Neurospora crassa OR74A: one gene and its partners. The protein of the gene in region 1 interacts with the protein of each later gene in a biochemical or structural test. Links are inferred from orthologs where the notes say so. Each region holds a gene or a part of one and is shown in the gene's direction. Other genes may lie near its edges.

Region 1 (7,948 bases):
TAGCTTTTCTCATAAAAGATGGACGCCGAATAACACTATTATAATAGGCACAACGTAGCGATCCCTAGATAAGGAAACCCATATCCCCTTGACCCTTAAACACCACGCAATGCTTCCTCCTGTGATATAAACAGTGACCGTAACCCAACCAATTCCAGCCTGGCCGTTTCAGAACCGAGATCATCTGACACCCGGCCTCTACTGAAGCCTTTCCCTTGCCACACGTTTGCCCGCCATGTACATATGAAGCTACAGACATTATCGCCACGAAGAATAAGTGGTATGCATACCTCTATTAAGGCCACAGGTTCTCCTTATTCCTGTCGCCCAGACCCCTCTCCCTTTCGGCTCTTTTGCGCTGCAATCGAGCAATGGCTGCTGCCCGGCGGTCTGCGGGAAGTGTTGTGGATGCGGACGTCTTCGGAGGGGGTGTTATGCTACCGACGTTCCAGACAGAGCTGCTGTCAATGTCAAACCCTTCCAAACGCGCAATGTTTGAATGCGGCACCACATCTGGTTTGAAGGGCTCAAGATCCGGCACCTTGAAGGAGTGAGAAGTGGGAGCCTTGAATGGCTCGAGCTCGGGCACTTCGTTGGAGAGAGGCCGGGCGATACGCGTCATCCTCGTGGTTGGCAATTGAGAGCCAGCGTTAGCAGCCGCTGTTGCCGTCGCCTTAGTGCTCGTCCATGGCTTGTTCAGCTTCTTGCCTAGAATGTCCTCCAAGCTGGACTTTGTGCGGAGAGTCCTGGCAGCGGCAGATGAGCCGGCTGTCGTGGTAGTCCCTGCTGTTGTCCTATGCGAGGTGGCTGCCCGCTCAGGCTGGCTGGTCGTCCACGAAGGTGCTTGTTGCTTCGCGGCTTCACCGAATCCTAGAGGCTTTTTGCCCATGTCTGCCTCTACCTTCTCTCGAAACGCACGAGAAGAAACCAACGCATCGTCCTCGTAGCTGTACCGCTTGATGTCGCCCGTAATGGTCCTGATTCTTTTCTGGGCTCCGGCAGCTGGTGCGGGAGCCAAAAGCCCTCGTTGGATGCTTGTTTTCCTGAGAGCATCTAGCTCCTTGAACAGCAATGTGCTCTCCTCCTCGGCCGATTCCAGGAACTTGAGTGCTTCTTCTCGGTCATTTGCCTCCTTGACCTTGTCGTGGCTCGCTTTCAATTTCGCCTCCAGGTTCTTCATCCGCGCCGCCCACTTGGACTCGATCGTCTCTGCCTTGAGGGTTGCAATCTCCTGCTGAAGTTCGGATATTTTGTCGTTCTTCTTTTCCAAAACTTCCCTCGCTTCGACATATCGGGATTTGGCGTCCTCCTTCAACTTGTTATAATCTGCCCTGAGTTTTTGAAGTTCATTGTCCTTTACCAGATTCTCATTCTTGGATTCGGCCAGCCGTTTCTCCAAGTCCTTGACCTTGAAATTGCTCAGCACCACCTCACTGTTGAGTTTCTTATTCTCCTCGGCGAGTGCGGTGGCTCGTTGCTCGGCGAATTTTAGCTCAGTCTTCATTCGGCCCCGCTCGTCCCGAAGCTTTCCAAGTTCCCTAACCTGTGACCTAGCCTTCCTAAGCTCTCGCTGGGCCTCCAAAAGTGTCCGATGAGTTCTTGGCGATGCAATCCGTCGTTTGTATGAAGCATGGCTCCCGGCCTGATAGTCATTATGATCCTCTTCATCTTCGCGCAGTATCTCTTCCAATTCCTCGACCTGGGCCCTGTACTCTTGCGCCAAAGCCTTTTGCCGATTAAGCTCTTCTATCAAGCCGTTGTTGGGCTCGACACCACCTCGCTTCGAATAGACATTGACGTGGCGCGTCATCTCGGCAATTTGCTCCTCCATTTGCTGGACCCTCTCCTGTTCCTCCTTGAGCTTCTTGTTCAAGTCGACGGCCTCGGCATCTTTCAGTTTGGCGTAGGACTTTGCGAGCTGCTTGTATCTAACCAGCTTCTCCATTTCCGCCCTCGCATCCGCGTGATACTTTTCGAACTCGGCCTTCCAGTACCTTCCAGAACGCGAGTGTGGTTCGTTGAGATCGACTGTGGCATCTGTGATATCTGTTTCGAGATCCGAGTCGTCATAATACTCGACATCATCTTCATCCCATGCATCTTCGGCCGAAAACGTCTTGACACCAGTATCTGCGGTTTGCGGCCTGGTCCGTGAATTTTCGAGAATTTCGGTCAATCGGGTCTTTGGTTTCGAGGCCTGACCGTCAGTGCCAAGGCCGCCCGTCGCGGTCAAATCCAGGGCCGATCCCGCCTTAACGCCATGACCAAAGGAAACGCGTTTGCGACGGGCTGCGCCGACGCCTGGAGTCAAGAGAATGCCGTTCGGTTTCGTCGGTGATCGATGAGGACCGGGCATAGGGGCGGTTTTCTTCGAATCTTTGGCGGGTGTGCCGAACAAGGCAGTCTTCAAGGCGCGCACAGCGAAGACCGGCGCTGGAGTATCGGGGACATCGAGCTGGTTGGTAGATTCATCTGGGCCAAATGGTCAGACTCAACAATGAGGAATAAATGCGCTGAGGCTCCTGCAATGGCCTGCAACCGTACCGGCATCGGGTGCGCCCTGTGCATTTTGCGCAGTCGAGTTATTGTTTCGCCGCAACGCCCAACTAATCATTGTGTCGGTCGGCGATGGATGAAGAAGCTGAAGCGAGGTCTAGCGCAGCATACTCTGGGCGGTCGGCGATGGGGGAAATAGGCCCCTCGAATACGATTCGCGCGATAAGGTGGGAGAATTGGTTGATGGTGGTGATGGAGGTTGTAGAGGTAAGAATGGGATCGGATTCGCGGGCTGCAGTTGTGTGTCGCAGCTGAGTCGAGAGCAATGGGAGTGGAAGAACTAATCCTGTTTGATGGGCGAGTGGGTGATTTGTTTACTCTTTCCCTGAACAGGACAGACGGGAGCCAATGAGAATCGGGATGAGAAGTGGAGGACGAACGGGATGGATGAAGCTGACCTGATGGCTCGTCCCGCCATCCATCCGTTCAGCGTCCTGTCAGTGTGGTCCAGTGCCATTCAGTTCCAAGCAAACAGACGGGAGCGCGGCAAAGATCTCAATTCAGGTTCAGATTCCCAAGTGGGACCTACTGCAGGGTCTCCACTTGTGCCTCTATCATGTATTCTTTGCTCCGACCCCACTTGCAAGTGTTCGCCACGGTCCATCCATCCCTCGGCCGGTGAACCTTGAGAACCTGGAACCCGCTACCCAGCTACCTACATACCTAGCCTAGGCACCTGCTGTGAAGATAAGTACACTACATATGTCGTGAGGTAGGTAGTACTGGACTGCCCGTACCCGCTCACAGCGGTGGGAACTTCCTAGTTAACAAAGTACTTAGTTTATCGGGACTCGCTGGGGGAACCTTATCAGCCAGGCTCGAGCTGAACAGCGGAATGGATGCTGTTGTCGTGGACTCGGGCTCTGGACCATCCTGTTGTTGGGGACCTTCACGGGTCTTCATTTCCATTCCAAGTCACAGTTGGAGTCATCCAACGAGTCACCCACTCACTTGTCCACTTCACCCATCTTACATCCATCCATCTCCTCTGCTCCCACTCACTTTTGGAAACGCGACCGTTGACCACGTCACTTCGTTTCCACCCAACCTTCACCCTTGCCCTTCCACCTTGTCTTCCCTTTCCCGCATCTGAACCCAGTCTACCACGAGAAAAGATGGGCTCCGCTCAGTGAAGTCTCGCAGCCATCTCGGCTGTGTCCGTTGCATAAGGCCTAATATACCAGACCAACCCCCTTTCCACAACGACTAACAAGACTCACTGATTAATAACAAGCATCTCTGCCCAGCAGAACCGGGTCTCGCAATAATGGCGTGGAAGAAACCTGCCGGCAAGAAGAAGCCTGCCCAACAACAAACCCCCAAGAAGAACAATGAAGGCAACACCACTTTCCCGGGGCTCAAGGCCCCGGGGCAAACCCCACCAGCAAAGACTCATTATCAGGAAGTCCAGGAGAGTGAAGTCATGGTGCTGCAGGCCATCTATGGAGAGGACTTCACCCAACATGAAGCAGCACACGGGGCATGGCAGGTAAGATCTATCTTATCTCTTCTCTTCCCACAATGTTGTTCACTGACAGACGTCCAGAAATCGGAACCCCGTTTTGACATCAAGATTAAACCTTCATCTGACCAAGAGCTTTCAGTGACACTGGGCGTGGTCATGGTGGCAACTTACCCAAAGACACCTCCACTGCTGACCATCAAGGATGACCACAGTCTCCGAGAGTCGACCAAGTTCAAGATTCAAAAGTTTGTGGAGACACAACCAAAGATCTATGCGCAAGCGGAACAGGAGATGATAGACCAGATTGTCGAAGGGATCCGCGATATCCTGGAGGAAGCCGCTCAGAAAAAGGTCCAGGGGCTGGAGATCCCCTCCTTGGAAGAGGAGAGGGCAGCCCACGAAGCAGAGCTGGCAAGGTTAGCGCAGAGCGAAAAGGAGCGAGAGGAACGGAAGAAGCTCGAAGAGAGCAAGGAGGAAGAAAGAGTCCTCGAAGACATGCTCCAGGAAGAGCTCAAGCGCCAGCGAAATAAAGCAAAAGAATCCAGAAAGAAGAACAGGAGCCATCAATTATCCCCTGACCGTGCTCCGCAAGATCCCGGCGAGACTGACGAGACGCTCATGTTTGATCAGCCCTGCAAGATCACTGATGGCTCTGGTAATGCCTTGTTCTTCCAAACCGTCATTGGCAAAACTGTCTTTCGCGAAGGTCCCATCACCACCGTCTACAAGGTCAAACCAGTCCTGTCCGCCAGAACAGTGCGCCCTAGCCTAGCCTTGAAGCAAGTAGAAGTCAAGTCACACGGAAAGGATTCGGCTCAGTTCAAGAAGCAGCTGCAGTATCTAGAGTCGCAGATGGAAACACTGAAAAAGCTTCGCCATCAGAATCTGCTTCCCTTCCTTGACTTCAGGATCGATCGAGGCATCAGCGACACCGATTCTTCTGCGCCGACCATCTGGACCGTCAGCATTCTGACGCCCCTCGCCACCAAGGGGCCCATTGAAGAGCTTCTCGATCTAGCGGGCCATATTGACACCAACAAGGCAAAGATATGGACGGCCGACCTTCTGGAAGCACTTGCATTCCTACACAACAACGGAATCATTCATCAAGACCTTCACCCAGCCAACATTCTCCTCTACAGAAACGAGGCGGGGGATATAGTGCCTAAAATCACTGATTCTTTTTATCAGAGGGAGCTTCACAACCTCTGTACAAAGATAAAGACGCTGACATCCTCAAAAGCCGCCAAATCCGCATACTGGTTTCCGCCCGAAATTGCAGGTGTAACGAAGCCTCAATACACTCAAAAGACCGATGTCTGGGACTTTGGCATCGTCTTTCTTCAGATGATCTTCGGTTTGGATGTTGTCGAAAAGTATCATTCGCCTTCCGCACTGATGGATTCTCTTTCCTTGTCGGCTCCGCTGGAAGAACTGGTCTCCAAGTTCTTCAAGTCCGACCCCAAGAAGCGGCCGCGGGCTTTTGAGTTGAGCTCAAGCGAATTCCTTGCTACCAATGCGCCCATTATCGATGACGAGGACATTGCTGTGCCGGGTTCCCTGATGCCCATGCCGCAAATGACCCCGCAGAGGATGAGGCACGACTCGATGAGTCGCGGACCCATGTCTTCCAGATACCGACAGGACTATGTGGAAGAGGCTCGTCTTGGAAAAGGAGGGTTCGGAGAGGTTGTCCGAGCCCGCAAGATGATTGACGGACACCTATACGCCATCAAAAAAATCACACAAAGGTCTCAAGAGACACTTTCAGAGATCCTAAAGGAAGTCCGACTGCTTTCCCAGATGAACCATCCGGCTGTTGTCAGATACTACAATACATGGCTGGAGGAGGTGCCGGACTACGCGGACACAGAAGGCGATACTTCAACCGAAGGCGGCGCTACAGACGTTACAGACAACTCTCAGGTCACGATATCCCACGGCATAAATATTGAATTTGCCGAGAGCAAAAGCAGAGGTCTAGATTTCATGTCCTCCAGTGGGCACCCGGGCATTGAGTACGACTACAGCTCGAGTGAAGAAGAGGATGACGACGAAGATGAAGACGATGAAGAGGATGAATCCGACAATGACTCAAATGACGATGCTGCCACTGTAAGCGGCAAGAACCACCTTGGTGTCACAGGACGGCGTCCTCGACGGGGAAGTGCTCGCCCATACAAGACCGTGATGTATATTTCCATGGAGTATTGCGAGAAGCGGGTAGGTTCCCATTATGCCAAAACCAAAATCCGAATGGCAACACTGACAGTTCTATAGACACTGCGCGACTTGATTTCTCGGAATCTGTCTAAGGAAACAGCTGAGATCTGGCGCTTATTCCGCCAAATTCTAGAAGGGCTCTGCCACATTCACAGCCTCAACATCGTTCACCGTGACCTCAAGCCCGAGAATATCTTCATCTCTTCTGGACCTGACGGCCTGGATAATGTAAAGATCGGCGATTTTGGGCTGGCCACTAGCGGACAGTTGGCGATAGACAGGTCAACAGCAAGCTTGGATGCAAGCGACATGACCAGGAGCATTGGCACAGCAGTTTATGTCGCCCCTGAGGTCCGGACGGGTGGCAGCGGCTCTTATACATCAAAGGTGGATGTAGGTTTTTCCCATCCTCCTTGCAAGACTAGACTGACATCATCCCTAGATGTATTCCTTGGGCGTGATTTTCTTCGAGATGTCGTACCCTCCCATGCTTGGAATGCAGCGCGCCATGGTCCTTGAGCAGCTGCGCCAATCCCCTCCCATTTTGCCCGCTGACTTCAAACATATGGATAAAAACCATCTCGAGGTCCTGTTGTCACTGCTGACTCACAACCCTAAAGAGCGCCCTTCGAGCTCAGAGCTTATGAAGAGTGGCAAGCTTCCGATTCAGATGGAAAGCGAGGCGATACGGCGTGCGATTGCTGGATTGTCGGATCCCAACTCACCTTACTACCAAAAGATGCTCGAAACTTTATTCTCCAGGCCAATCGAACAAGCAAAGGATTACGCTTGGGACATGTCTTCATCTGGGCCATCACCCCAAGAACTCATGCGACAGTTCATCGTCAAGGACACCTTGATATCCATCTTCCGGCGACACGGTGCGGTTGAGGCTCCTACGGTCTGTCTGTATCCCAGCTCTTCGCATTATGGCCAAAACGCGGTCCATCTCCTCGACCAGAATGGTACGGTTCTTCAGTTGCCCTTCGATCTCATGATGGGCCATGCTCGCTCTCTCGCAAGGATCACGAACAGCCCCGTTGTTCAGAAGTCATACTCCTTTGGCAACATATTCCGTGATCGTCACGGCGGTGGTCAGCCTGATGTGTACGGAGAAGTCGACTTTGACATTGTCACTTCAGACGCCTTAGACCTTGCCTTGAAAGAGGCCGAGGTCATCAAAGTTCTGGATGAGATTGCGACTGCGTTCCCTACTGTGTCGTCTACTCCCATCTGCTTCCAGCTGGGGCATTCGGACCTCTTGAATCTTATCTTTGAGTACTGCGGCGTGGAAGTGGGCACACGCAGGGCTGCTGCTGAGGTCCTCAGTAAGCTCAACATTCGCAATTTCACTTGGCAAAAGGTGCGTGGAGAGCTTAGATCACCCATGGTGGGTATATCGGCAACCAGCGTAGACGAGCTGCAGAGATTTGACTTCAGAGGTAAGTGTGACTTTACACCACGAACATACTTACGCCATCAACTAACCACTTGTTTTAGATACCCCGAGCAAGGCCATCGCGAAGATCAAGCTTCTTTTCGAAGGAACGGAATACTACCAACAGGCTTCATCAACATTGGCCCATCTCAAAGAAGTGTACGAATATACCAAGCGGTTCGGAGTACAAAACAAAATCTACATTGCCCCTTTAAGCAGCATCAACGAAGCCTTCTTCCGCGGTGGCATCCTCTTTTCTTGCCTGT
Region 2 (5,685 bases), on another chromosome or scaffold:
AGGAAACCATCAATAACATAATAGAGACCAGGATTTCTCTCACCTTGCTCCACCAAGACAGAGCCCTTAGGAAAGAAGACGATCTCAACCTCGTCCTTCATATCGTGTGCGAGTAGTTGAGGATTGGGAACTGGTGACGATGAGCTAAATCCACAAGAGGTAACTGACTCCGTGTCGTTGTCGAACGGGTCGAAGGCATCCATGAAGCCAAAAGCAGTGTGGCCGGGACCACCCCTCGAACGTCGCTGGTCCGTAGGAACAAATCTTGGGGAAGCTTGCGTCGAATCCGGATTGACACTTCCGTTACCGGTCAGGCCAATGGCCCTGAACATGCATTCGAGCACCGACTCTCGGAACATGTCGTCTTCATCAAGGGCTTCCCTCGTGTCAAGAGAGACATGTGCGTTTCGAGGAGTAGAGAAGGGACTGAGATTTCGCTGTGGTCGAGGAGATGTAGCGTCTCGCGCTAGATCAAGCTGCGATGCCGGCCCAGACTTCAACTGTTGCGTATTCGTGAGCAAGTCGCCGGGGCTAGGCATGTCGGGCGATGGGCGTTCTCGACGTGTTCCGAATGCAGGGGTCGCCGTGACGATGCTCTGCCGCCTTTTCGAATATGCCTGCAATGCCACTTCTTTCCGAAGGGAGGCAGCCGAACGACGTCGGCGGGCGGCATGCGCATTGTGAAGAGCAATGCCCTTTTCGACCTCCTTCTCTCCAATTCTTTCCCTTTCCCGCTTGAACTTTTCCTTGAGTCTATCCAAAGCGTCTCCTCTGAGATGATTAGGGAGTTGCCGAACTGTATGCTTCAAGATGTTGCGCTCCATCTGCAATACTTCGCCGCTCAAGCCAAGGTAGTTGTAAGCAGTGGCAAGTGTCACTCTTTGAAACCTCGAAAGGATGACATGAACGATGTGCGCAGTGGCCTTGGGATATATCTTGATCAGACGCCTGAAGGCGCTGGCGGGGATAATGGCTATGGTAGTGTCCACTGTCGCTCTCGCAATAATATCTGGATGGGCTGAAGTGGTATTGAGCCTCTTCGGTACCGGCCGGCGGGGTACAGCAGGACGAGTGTTCACGAGAGAAAGTGATGGTATCCTCGAAGAATCATGAGCTAGGGGAGACATTGTTAGAGACTCAGCCGAAGCCATCCCACGTTGCATAACGTGGTTGTCGGACAATGGGGTACCTGGGATGGACGGGAGGGTATCGTTCGACTGCTGGAAGTTGGCGTTCATAGGATAACCAGGCATAGCGGTGCCAGGAGCGGAAGGCGTTGGGTCGGGGCTGTCGTCGTCGTCGGTGTCATGCATTTGGATATCTTCAGTGAAGAGTGACATGATAGAGAACAGTGATGACATGGGGGCACCGTTCCGCACTTCGGTCAGAAGCTGGTAGCGCTGGCGACCCGGAGCAAAGCCTTCCTCATCGTCGCTCTCGAACGAAGGGCCACTGCTTGAGCGTCGACCATCTCTGGCGGATTTAACAAAGATCTCCACCATACCGTCGACCACAAGACAGAATCCTTGCTCTTCTTCGAGGTTGAGGGTTTCGCCAGCGATCAGCTTCCTCGTTTGCATGCTGCGGGTCAGTTCATGGAAAACCGGCCTTTCCAGATAACCAAAGATTTTGATGGCGCTGAGAAACTCGTCAAAGTAGCTAGCTAGCCCAGACTTTACTCCTTCCTCCTGTGTTTCGGGGAACAGATCAACAGCTGGCTCTTTGCGCTGGGGCTCAGGAGGAAGCCGTGAGTACATGTTTAAGTAGCGATATCTGACTACCCAGGTCACTCCTGCCATCATGAACAACATAATAAGCACACTAAGCATACCGACGGTTAGATCCACCAGCCTTGAGTCCATGTATACAAAATGCGGCTGGCGGATGACTTACAGCGTAGTGGCGTTCATGGTCACCGTCAGACTAGTCGAAAAGATGTTGAACAGAAAGGTGGGTGTAGTGATGGTGGTCAGCTTGATGACAAAGTATAGCACACTCGAGATGCGGTGCAACAGCCAGAGGATGATGGTGAACCATGAAGTCGGGGTGTGTTCGGGAACCACATCGCTAGTAGCTTTCGAGACCGCATCGCTGGCGAGAGCGACGACAGACGAGAGGGCTTCTGTAGGATCGGCGAGGATTGCCGTCGCAGTCGTGGACGTTGTCTCGGAAAGCACCGAGCTCATGGCGTTGCCGAGGTTGCTAAGAGACTCCATTTTCAGAAGCCTGAAGCACCAAGCAAGCAAGCCAAGAGTTACCGGGCGAGCCCGTCGTGTAGATCGGTTCTGACAGAAAGAAGAGAGTGTGTATGTATGTTTTTGTTTTTGTGTTTCCTTTTTTTTATAGGGTTGTAGGTATCGCGGTAGTGTCGCGCCGTCGTCGTGGGGATGGTCGTGAAGAATAGTTGGTGTTCGATCGATCAGCGTGTCTGAACCCCAAAAGTACCGTCGCAACCTGATCAAGACCTATGAGCTGTCCCCTCCCCGATGTGCCTGTGGTTGAAACCCAACTCTTACTACCTGGTCTGCGGTGTCGTCGCTCTGTTCTTTTTCATATCGGTCCAAGTGTTGTCACCCAAGACGGAGACCGTCGAGAAAAGCGAAACGGGTGAGCTCCTCCAAAAGTAACGACATGTGCGGAGGGTTTAGATGAGCCCAGTGTCGTCGGGTGTTGGTCGGCCCTCGGGATTCGTTTGGGTGCCGTGCAAAAGTCGAATCTCCAAGTCGCCGTTGGTGGACAAGCAAGGTTCAGTGATTGAAGCTCCCTAGCTCGACGATGTCCAAGGAAGATTCCAGGCTTATCAGTGACTAACCCCACTGTCGGTTCACGATTGACGTCGTTGTTCCTGCCCACTGAGCTGGCGCTTGGCACAGTGGAGTTCGGGGCAGGTGGAGTAAGTAGAGGTACCTAACCGAGAGCAGGTACCTGCCTTTGCGTACCGTTGTTCCCACCTGGGCTGCTGTGCGCTTCCTTACCTAGGTACCCGACTTACCCCACCTCAAAAAAAAAAGATGGAGCCGCGTCTCACTTGCCGTCACGGTCAGAACGTGAAATTCACCCCTCAATCCGGCGCACCAGCCACAGCCTACTTCGTTCCCTCCCAAAGTGCCCACGCCACTTTTGCAGCCTGTCTGCACGTAATTTTTGGTTGGTACCCGAAAAATACTGCGACGCATCTGGCTAACTTTGAGTGAGTCCTTTGAGCCTCGCTGGACCCTCCGAGAACCCGCTGCCGCAACCAGAACTCGAACTTCCAGAGGACCTTTCCCAGCTGTGGCCACTTGCAGCGAAACTCGGTCAATTTTCTTTCTCGGCCATCAACCCCTCCAGACCATCCACTCGAATTCCATCTCGCCCATTGTCGCGAAGCTCGTCGCCGACATTACCCTCCCCCTTTCAACACCACTAACACCACCACTTATTTCACCGTTTGCCCCGCCCGGGAAAAGGCACCAGTCGCCAACATGTCGCTCTCAAACTGCCGTTTCTATGAGGAGAAGTATCCTGAAATCGACTCGTTCGTTATGGTCAATGTTAAGCAAGTACGATACACTGGGGTCCCGGTGGTGCGCATGCGCATGTGGATGCGTCAGAGCTGACCCCCAGATTAGATTGCCGATATGGGCGCCTACGTCAAGCTTCTCGAGTACGACAACATCGACGGCATGATCCTGCTCTCTGAGCTTTCCAGAAGACGTATTCGTTCCATCCAGAAGTTGATCCGTGTCGGTCGCAACGAGGTCGTCGTCGTTCTCCGTGTCGACAAGGAGAAGGGTTATATCGATTTGTCCAAGCGTCGTGTGTCCCCCGAGGATATCGTTCGTTGCGAGGAGCGTTACAACAAGAGCAAGATCGTCCACTCGATTATGCGCCACGTTGCCGAGAAGACTCTTGTTCCCATCGAGCAGCTTTACGAGACAATAGGATGGCCCCTCAACAAGAAATACGGCCACTCGCTTGATGCCTTCAAGCTTTCGATCACGTACGTCATTCCGGGAAATAGGCGTACAGCTGTGGGACAAAATGGCGGTATTGGACAAGATGCTGACATGGATGTGAAGCAACCCCGACGTCTGGAATGACATCCAGTTCCCCACCGAGGCCGTTGCCGAGGAGCTCAAGACCTACATCAGCAAGCGTTTGACTCCCCAGCCTACCAAGGTCCGTGCCGATGTTGAGGTCACTTGCTTCGGCTACGAGGGTATCGATGCTATCAAGACCGCTCTCCGCACTGCGGAGGCTCGCAACACTGAGGAAACCCAGGTCAAGTGCAGACTTGTGTCCCCTCCCCTTTATGTGTAAGTCTTTGCCAGAAATAGTCTTGCAATGTTGAAGACAGAGTGGAAGCTAATAACTATACACAGCCTTACCAACACCTGCTTGGACAAGAATGCCGGTATTGCCCGCCTTCAGGAGGCCATTCAAGACATGCGGACCAGCATCGAGGCTGCTGGTGGCCACCTTGTGGTGAAGATGGAGCCCAAGGCTGTCACTGAGTCCGATGATGCTGAGCTCCAAGCTCTTATGGAGAAGCGTGAGCGTGAGAACGCTGAGGTCAGCGGCGACGAGAGTGTCAGCGAGTCCGACGACAATATCCCCGAGACCGTCTAAAGCGCCTCTTCATTTTGCAGCCATTCTTAAACGGAGCTATCTTTGCAGGCTCATTGGGATACTCGACACTATTTTGAGGAAAGGTTTAGGGATGCATGTATACAGTTTTTGCGACACAGGGCTGGCGTCTAGGGGATACAAAAGTCCTTCAGGCGGTAGAGGAATCAACCAAAAGATTGCATCAAGCGTATGCCTAATGAATGTGAGCGAGGGACGAGGATTGATGAACACAAGACTTGATATGGATACATAGTCATTTTATGGATGCACTTGCTGTAACTAGGTAGATCTAGGCGTTCAAGGATATGCAGCTACCGGGGCTGATAAGCGATCTCATCGTTTTCTTATCGCCGCCTGCCCGGGCATGTGGCTGCAATTATTGTCTTCTCCATGTTAACACACAAGCTCCGTACTGCTCACTGCCCTGCTCACTGAGCACGTTGAGGCGAACATACGCCCTCTATTTCACAGCAGCATTGCGATTCACAGCAAAGAGTTGCATCGCATTGACATCTTCGGTAGCTCGATAACTCGCTTGGTCGGATAGCGATGGCGGCGCGATGGGGAGCAGGAATTCGGAACGGATTCCTCGGTCAGTTCTCACACTACCTCATTCGCTACGCAACATGGATCCCTCCATTGGTGGTCTTCAACGGCTGGGTTGCCGAGATCACACAAATCAAGGGGCCGTCCATGTATCCTTTCTTCAACCCGCACTACAATGAGTCAACACGTCGGGACATCGTACTGGTCTCTAAGTGGTACCCGGACCGGAACCTCAAGCGCGGCATGATTGTGACCTTTAGGTGAGATCCAAAATCTCATCCTACAGCATCTGGCGTGCCGCATTCGGGGCATTGGTTGGGAACCTGACGACTAACTGTAACCCAGAAACCCACTGAACCCAAAGGGAAAGGTCGTAAAAAGAGTGGTCGGAATAGCAGGCGACGTGATCCGTACCAAGGCGCCTTACCCGCATGAATACGTCCAGGTACCAGAAGGGCACATCTGGGTAGAGGGAGACGGCGACAAGACCAAGGACAGCAACTACTACGGCCCGATATCAGCGTGCTT
Region 3 (6,097 bases), on another chromosome or scaffold:
GCCCATAACAAGAAAACTGTCAATACTCGACTCGGATCGGGAGATTTCCAGTCGCGGGTGGCCGGGTTTGGTTGCGTCCAACTCTGATACTAGCTCATTTCTCGCTACCCAATTATATTTTATGCCGTCGTCGTCATCGTTGTTGCCATTGTCATTGTCATTGTCCCAAAGCGCATCAAATACCAAGGGCCCAATGTCGTGAACAGATCTGGCGAAACGTGGCTTTCCCACGCAAGCTGAGCGATGGATGAGACCGTGGCGGTTATCAATCCCTTGGAAGACAGTTGTCCACGTCGAACATCCTTTTCATTTTCAATCAAATCGACAGAACTTGGCAGCAACAAGGCTGAAAAAGCATGGCTGCCATGCTATAAAAAGAATGTGGGTGACAAGGGTGGTGGATGGTGACTAGTGAGTGAGTGGGTGGTATTAACGCGGGACGTCTGCTTGGTGATGTTTGGTTGTTTATGGTTCGGAATCCTTCACCTCTTTGGAGGTTGAAGTTCAAACTCCCCCACAAATATTCGATGATCATCTCTTTCTCTTTGCGCGCGAAGCCGATGAGGGAAATGTGATTGATCACTACCAATGAGCGACCGTTCTCTTATGAACGAAAAGCCGCTCGGTTTCCCTTTCCCGCGGCAGCGTTACGGATGAATGGTTATTAGACGCCCGTTAAAGGCGCAAGTACCCGTACAAACACGTACATATTTTTAATTGCTGGAGACGTTTTGGTCACTGCGATAATTCACGTCCGTCCAGTTACTCATTTCCCTCTCATTGACACAAAGAACCCATCAAACACACGTCGGTCTCTTGAGGCTCTAGCAGATATATGGCTTTGCAAATAGACCTACGTACCTGGGTGAGCCAGAACATGCATACATACACCCAGAGTATTCTGGTGAAGCGGCGACCTACACTATCCACACATCGCACAGCATGTCGGCAGGCTTCAATACCCTAACACGAGCGCCCTCTTTAAAAACTATCGGTGTCGTTTCAACCACTTCTTTTCTCTAAACCCATATATATATATGATGGGATACACAAAAGAACATCCTCATTCGATGTATCTTGCGCCGCGGGCGACAGCGCGTAGGTAGTGTATGCAGATCATCAAGGACACAAGCAACTGCTGTGTTTCCACAACACAGCATTGTTGTGCAGGCTAGTATGTAGATGGGTTGATCGCCACTAGAGGATATAGAAGTTTGATATTATGAAGCATCCATCGTTCACCTTGTCGCCTTTCCACAGGAGGTAAGAAACGAAGATCAATTACCCCCCCATCCACTACTGGTATGAACTTTAGCCACTGCATCATCTTTCTTTTCTCTGCTCGACTTCACATCCCGCCAGCCATTTGTGTCAGCCACAGTCTCGTAACCATCTAGCGAGACACTGGGGAGAAACAGGCGGCGAACGATCCCTTGAGTATCGATTTCTCTCCACAAGACTCAGTTGCGCCGTCTCTGCCCTAATCGTGGGCCGTTCCGTTTTGTCCGAGACACACGAAAGTTGGAACAGACCGACAGCTGTTGGAAACATGCATCTACCTGATTCTGATTCTGATTCTGATTCTGCTCCGAAACATACATATGGCGGCGCCCCGTGACGAGTAGAGAGATAGATAGGTAGGAGATAGGCAGGTCCAAGGGCGAAAATGAAATCTTGTTCATTGAAACTGCGCAAGGGTTTGTGATGTTGAACCACAGCAGACATCCAACAACAATTTAGCCTTGGTAAGACCTGAAAAAACAGCACCGCTCGATGGTGCTATCGCCAGGGTAGGTAGGCAGTGTAGTAGTGGGGATTGGGAATGTCCGCTGGTGACTATCACACATTGTAACCGCATTTTACGCGCGGTTTGTTTTATATTTTGGTTGTCGGCAAGGGGGGGTAATCGCTTACTTACCTACTCGCTTCGCTAACAAATTATCACCGTAACGGGACAGGGCAGGTTAGGGTAGGGTAGGTAAGAGCTTAAGAGGTAGGGATTAGCTCGGCGATAGCTGGTAGACACAGCTGGCAGGCTGAATCAGACGATGATGAGTGATGCTGGTCGCCGTCGGTAATTTGTCTTAGAAAATTCGCCCGAGTTGTCTGGAGTTCTAGGTGAAGGAGACAGACGGACAGCCGGACAGACAAAGAAAACGAATAGAGAATAAGAAGAAGAGATGTCCACCCGCGCGCGGGCAAACACACACACGCACACACCATCGAACCTCCGTCGGTTGCGACATCTGATTTGTTGGGTCGAATCAATTCCAATTTACACGCCCAGTAAAATCCCCTGCTTTTGATGGGCGGCGAAGGACATCAATAGTAGGCGACACCAAAGCGGCTTCGGGCATGTGTGTGCTTTTGCATGTTTGTCCTCCGGGCACTGGGCAGTACGATTCGTACTCGTCAGTACCTAGACGTAGGCAGGGCTCTTTTTGCTCCAATTGCTCCTTCGCGCTTAGTTCTTCTTTCTGTGATAGTGACGCTCCACTCAGTGAGCAAGCAGCGGTTAATTGCTGAAGTGGCTTCTTGGATCGCCCCTGTGTTCAAGATGGTGTAATGGTCAAAGGCAGATGTCTTTTCGATTCAGTGGACATTGGTAGCTATGGTAGTGGGCATTGGTTGAATGCACCACTGTCAGCCGTCTGAAACAAACTCGTAAAGTGTCTAATGGCGTGCCATCATTGGCGAAACTTGCGATGCGGCCCTGGGCCGAGGCCTGGTGGTTTCCAGACAAGTGGACGAAACTCATCGGGGCCATTCAGGATCGTACCCTTCCCTTTTGGAAGGTCTACACTGCTTTATTGCGTACTGCCCGTGCACGATGCGTGTTCTAGAAGGCGGGAAGAATATCCCATGCAAGAAAGCTGGTGCCTGCCCGTGCTGATGATGTTAAAAAGGGAAAGGATTCGATGCCACTGGTGGTAAAGTTTCTCGTGATGATGTTGCTCCTTTTGCGGGCGTTAGCGCTGCTGCACTAACAGTAACAGCTAGCTTCCTCGAGTGCAAACAAACCAATCAGAGCTTCTCCCATGAACCCCACCGTCGAGCGGTCAGTTGGCGGCAAATTCCGCCCCGCGCCCAGAAGAGGGACGAGGGCACCCGGGAGGCGGACCGGCGCCGTGAAAGTATCAAAAGTTGAACTCCACTTTGATATCGCACTCCGACAGGCTACCTACAGCTGCGTTTCAAGATCAAAGGAAACGTGACAAAACGACAGTGTTTGTTTTCACCGTAGTTTGATCAGCGAACTGTCAGACCATCATAGCCAAGATGGAGGCCGAAATCAGGACCGTTCTCCCCAACATCGACCCGATCATCTCCGAGTATTCGGCCGGCTATCTCACCCATGCCTCAACGGCCTGGTCCGGCGATGAGGATGCTACCGGCCCGTCTCCACTCGTCGAGGCCGCTTCCGCCATCACCGACCTGCTGATCTCGGCCTCTGGTGGTACTAATGCCGCCCTGCAGGACAAGATCCGTCAGCTGGTCGACAAGTGGGTGGACAGGTATTCTGCTGCCAACGACAGCCAGGAGAAGAGGGGTCCGGCTGTGAAGCGTCTTGACCAGACTATCCAAGTGAGCGCTCAGAGGAACATCTCGTCGACTCTGGCCGTGGCCACGGGCGGTGTTGATCTTGAGTCGGCCAACGCCAGGAAGGTCGAGTCCAAGGTCGACAAGAAGAAGCTGGAGAAGGCCGAGAGGAAGATTGCGGCCAAGCAGAACAAGAAGACCTTCAAGACGGTCGAGTATGAGGCCTCACGTCTGCTCAACCAGGTCGATCCAGCTCAGTCGTACGAGGAGTTCTACATGGCCGTCAACCCTCTGCAGATGAACGGCTCTTCCGGCAAGACCAAGGACATCAAGATCGACAACATCGACGTTACCATCGGTGGTCTCAGAATCCTGACCGACACCACTCTCACTCTCGCCTACGGCCATCGCTATGGTCTCGTCGGTCACAACGGTGTCGGTAAATCTACGCTTCTTAGAGCCCTCTCTCGCAGAGAGGTTCCCATTCCTACGCACATTTCCATTCTTCACGTCGAACAGGAACTCACGGGTGACGACACGCCTGCCATCCAGGCCGTCTTGGACGCCGACGTTTGGCGTAAGGTTCTTCTCAAGGAGCAGGCCGAGATCATCAAGAAGTTGGCCGACATTGAGGCTCAGCGCGTCGGGTTGGCCGACACCTCAGCCGATGCCGCCAAGCTTGATAGGGAGCGTGAGGTTCAGGACAACAAGCTCGGGGAGATCCAGGGCAAGCTTGCCGAAATGGAGTCGGACAAAGCCGAGTCGAGAGCGGCCAGCATTCTTGCCGGTTTGGGTTTCTCGCCAGAACGCCAACAGTTTGCGACCAAGACGTTCTCCGGTGGTTGGCGTATGCGTCTTGCCCTCGCCCGAGCCCTCTTCTGCGAGCCCGATCTCCTGCTGCTCGACGAGCCGTCCAACATGTTGGACGTCCCCTCCATCACGTTCTTATCCAACTATCTCCAAACCTACCCCAGCACCGTGCTCGTCGTCTCTCACGACAGAGCTTTCCTCAACGAGGTTGCCACCGACATCATCCACCAGCATTCCATGCGGCTCGACTACTACCGCGGCGCCAACTTCGACTCCTTCTACGCCACGCGCGAGGAGCGCAAGAAGGTGGCCAAGCGCGAGTACGAGAACCAGATGGCGCAGCGTGCCCACTTGCAAGCCTTCATCGACAAGTTCCGGTACAACGCGGCCAAGTCCTCAGAAGCCCAATCGCGTATCAAGAAGCTCGAGAAGATGCCTGTCCTGGAACCGCCCGAGACCGAGTACAGCGTGCACTTCAAGTTCCCCGAGGTGGAGAAGCTCTCGCCGCCCATTGTGCAAATGTCCGAGGTTACCTTCGGCTACAGCCCCGACAAGATCCTGCTGCGCAACGTCGACCTGGACGTCCAACTCGATTCCCGCATCGGTATCGTGGGCCCCAACGGCGCCGGTAAAACCACCATCCTCAAGTTGCTCGTCGGCAAACTTTCCCCCACTTCGGGCCTCATCACCATGCACCCCCGTCTCCGCATCGGCTTCTTCGCCCAGCACCACGTCGACGCCCTCGACCTCAACGCCTCGGCCGTCTCCTTCATGGCCAAGACGTACCCAGGAAAGACGGACGAGGAATACCGTCGCCAGCTGGGCGCCTTTGGCATCACCGGCACCACAGGTCTGCAGAAGATGGCCTTGTTGTCAGGTGGTCAAAAGTCCCGTGTGGCCTTTGCCTGCTTGGCGCTCACGCAGCCGCACATTTTGGTTCTCGACGAACCGTCCAACCATTTGGATATCGAGGCCATGGATGCGCTCTCGGAAGCGCTGCAGAAGTTTGAGGGTGGTGTGTTGATGGTTTCCCACGATGTCACCATGTTACAGACGGTGTGCAAGAGCTTGTGGGTGTGCGAGAACGGAACAGTGGAGAAGTTCCCTGGTGATGTGCAGGCGTACAAGAAGAGGATTGCGGCGCAGGCGGATGCGGCGGGAGTTGTTAAGAAGCATTAAGATAAGATAGGATGATGGAAAAGTGGTGGTGGTGGTAGTGGTAGTGGTTGGGTGGGAGGTGTGGAAAAAAATGCTGTTAGATTGTACAAAGCGAAAATCTCAAGGTTGATAAAGCGGTCATAAAGTGTTGTAGATTGTGATGCTCTGTTTCTGTGTTTTGTGTGACTAGGGTAGATTTTGTGCTTCACTTATTCTTCTGCTTCGTGCTTTTGCTGTTGTGAAGTAGCCCAAGGTAAGGAATCATACGGCCATCCTCGGGAACTCTGACTGAACAACCATATATGTAATGGTTGGGTCATTTATAGAGAAGTTTGTTTCCCTGGATGAGGTTGGCCCTCCCTAACTGCAAAAGATCATGACTATGCCAAACCTTTTTTTTTTGGGTGTCCAGCTTCGCAACATTTCCTTCAGTCAACAATGTGCTTGAGCGAAATACATGTAGGTAGAAGATGACCTAATCATGTATTTTATGAATCCTTGTGACGGGCATTACATATCTGATCTTACGTCCGCATTTATCTCAACATAGAGTTTAGTGGTGGTGTCGTTGTTCACTGTAGCAACAACC

The links. The genes of interacting proteins can lie anywhere in the genome.
Region 2: of the proteins of cpc-3 (region 1) and NCU08277, one has a biochemical effect on the other in vitro, tested with the Saccharomyces cerevisiae proteins (2 studies listed by BioGRID). The link is inferred for Neurospora crassa OR74A from reciprocal best matches to the Saccharomyces cerevisiae genes GCN2 and SUI2.
Region 3: the proteins of cpc-3 (region 1) and NCU04051 form a complex in vitro, tested with the Saccharomyces cerevisiae proteins (2 studies listed by BioGRID, with this or other methods). The link is inferred for Neurospora crassa OR74A from reciprocal best matches to the Saccharomyces cerevisiae genes GCN2 and GCN20.

What each region holds. Positions count from the first base shown.
Region 1 is NC_026505.1:3,165,909-3,173,856, forward strand, and holds the start of cpc-3 (cpc-3 protein), read left to right. Parts: upstream 1-3,197; 5' UTR 3,198-3,268; intron 3,269-3,336; 5' UTR 3,337-3,823; coding exon 3,824-4,045; intron 4,046-4,102; coding exon 4,103-6,244; intron 6,245-6,301; coding exon 6,302-6,637; intron 6,638-6,686; coding exon 6,687-7,686; intron 7,687-7,744; coding exon 7,745-7,948. Other genes in the region: NCU01186 (hypothetical protein), read right to left, coding at 296-2,472, 2,545-2,614. UniProt on the Saccharomyces cerevisiae protein: Metabolic-stress sensing protein kinase that phosphorylates the alpha subunit of eukaryotic translation initiation factor 2 (eIF-2-alpha/SUI2) on 'Ser-52' in response to low amino acid, carbon, or purine availability.
Region 2 is NC_026504.1:2,569,410-2,575,094, reverse strand, and holds NCU08277 (eukaryotic translation initiation factor 2 alpha subunit), read left to right. Parts: upstream 1-3,027; 5' UTR 3,028-3,464; coding exon 3,465-3,542; intron 3,543-3,611; coding exon 3,612-3,982; intron 3,983-4,061; coding exon 4,062-4,298; intron 4,299-4,364; coding exon 4,365-4,611; 3' UTR 4,612-5,002; downstream 5,003-5,685. Other genes in the region: NCU08276 (hypothetical protein), read right to left, coding at 1-1,821, 1,894-2,216; NCU16791 (mitochondrial inner membrane protease subunit 2), read left to right, coding at 5,161-5,417, 5,503-5,685. UniProt on the Saccharomyces cerevisiae protein: eIF-2 functions in the early steps of protein synthesis by forming a ternary complex with GTP and initiator tRNA. This complex binds to a 40S ribosomal subunit, followed by mRNA binding to form a 43S pre-initiation complex.
Region 3 is NC_026506.1:2,567,596-2,573,692, reverse strand, and holds NCU04051 (GCN20), read left to right. Parts: upstream 1-3,114; 5' UTR 3,115-3,279; coding exon 3,280-5,529; 3' UTR 5,530-5,692; downstream 5,693-6,097. UniProt on the Saccharomyces cerevisiae protein: Acts as a positive activator of the GCN2 protein kinase activity in response to in response to low amino acid, carbon, or purine availability.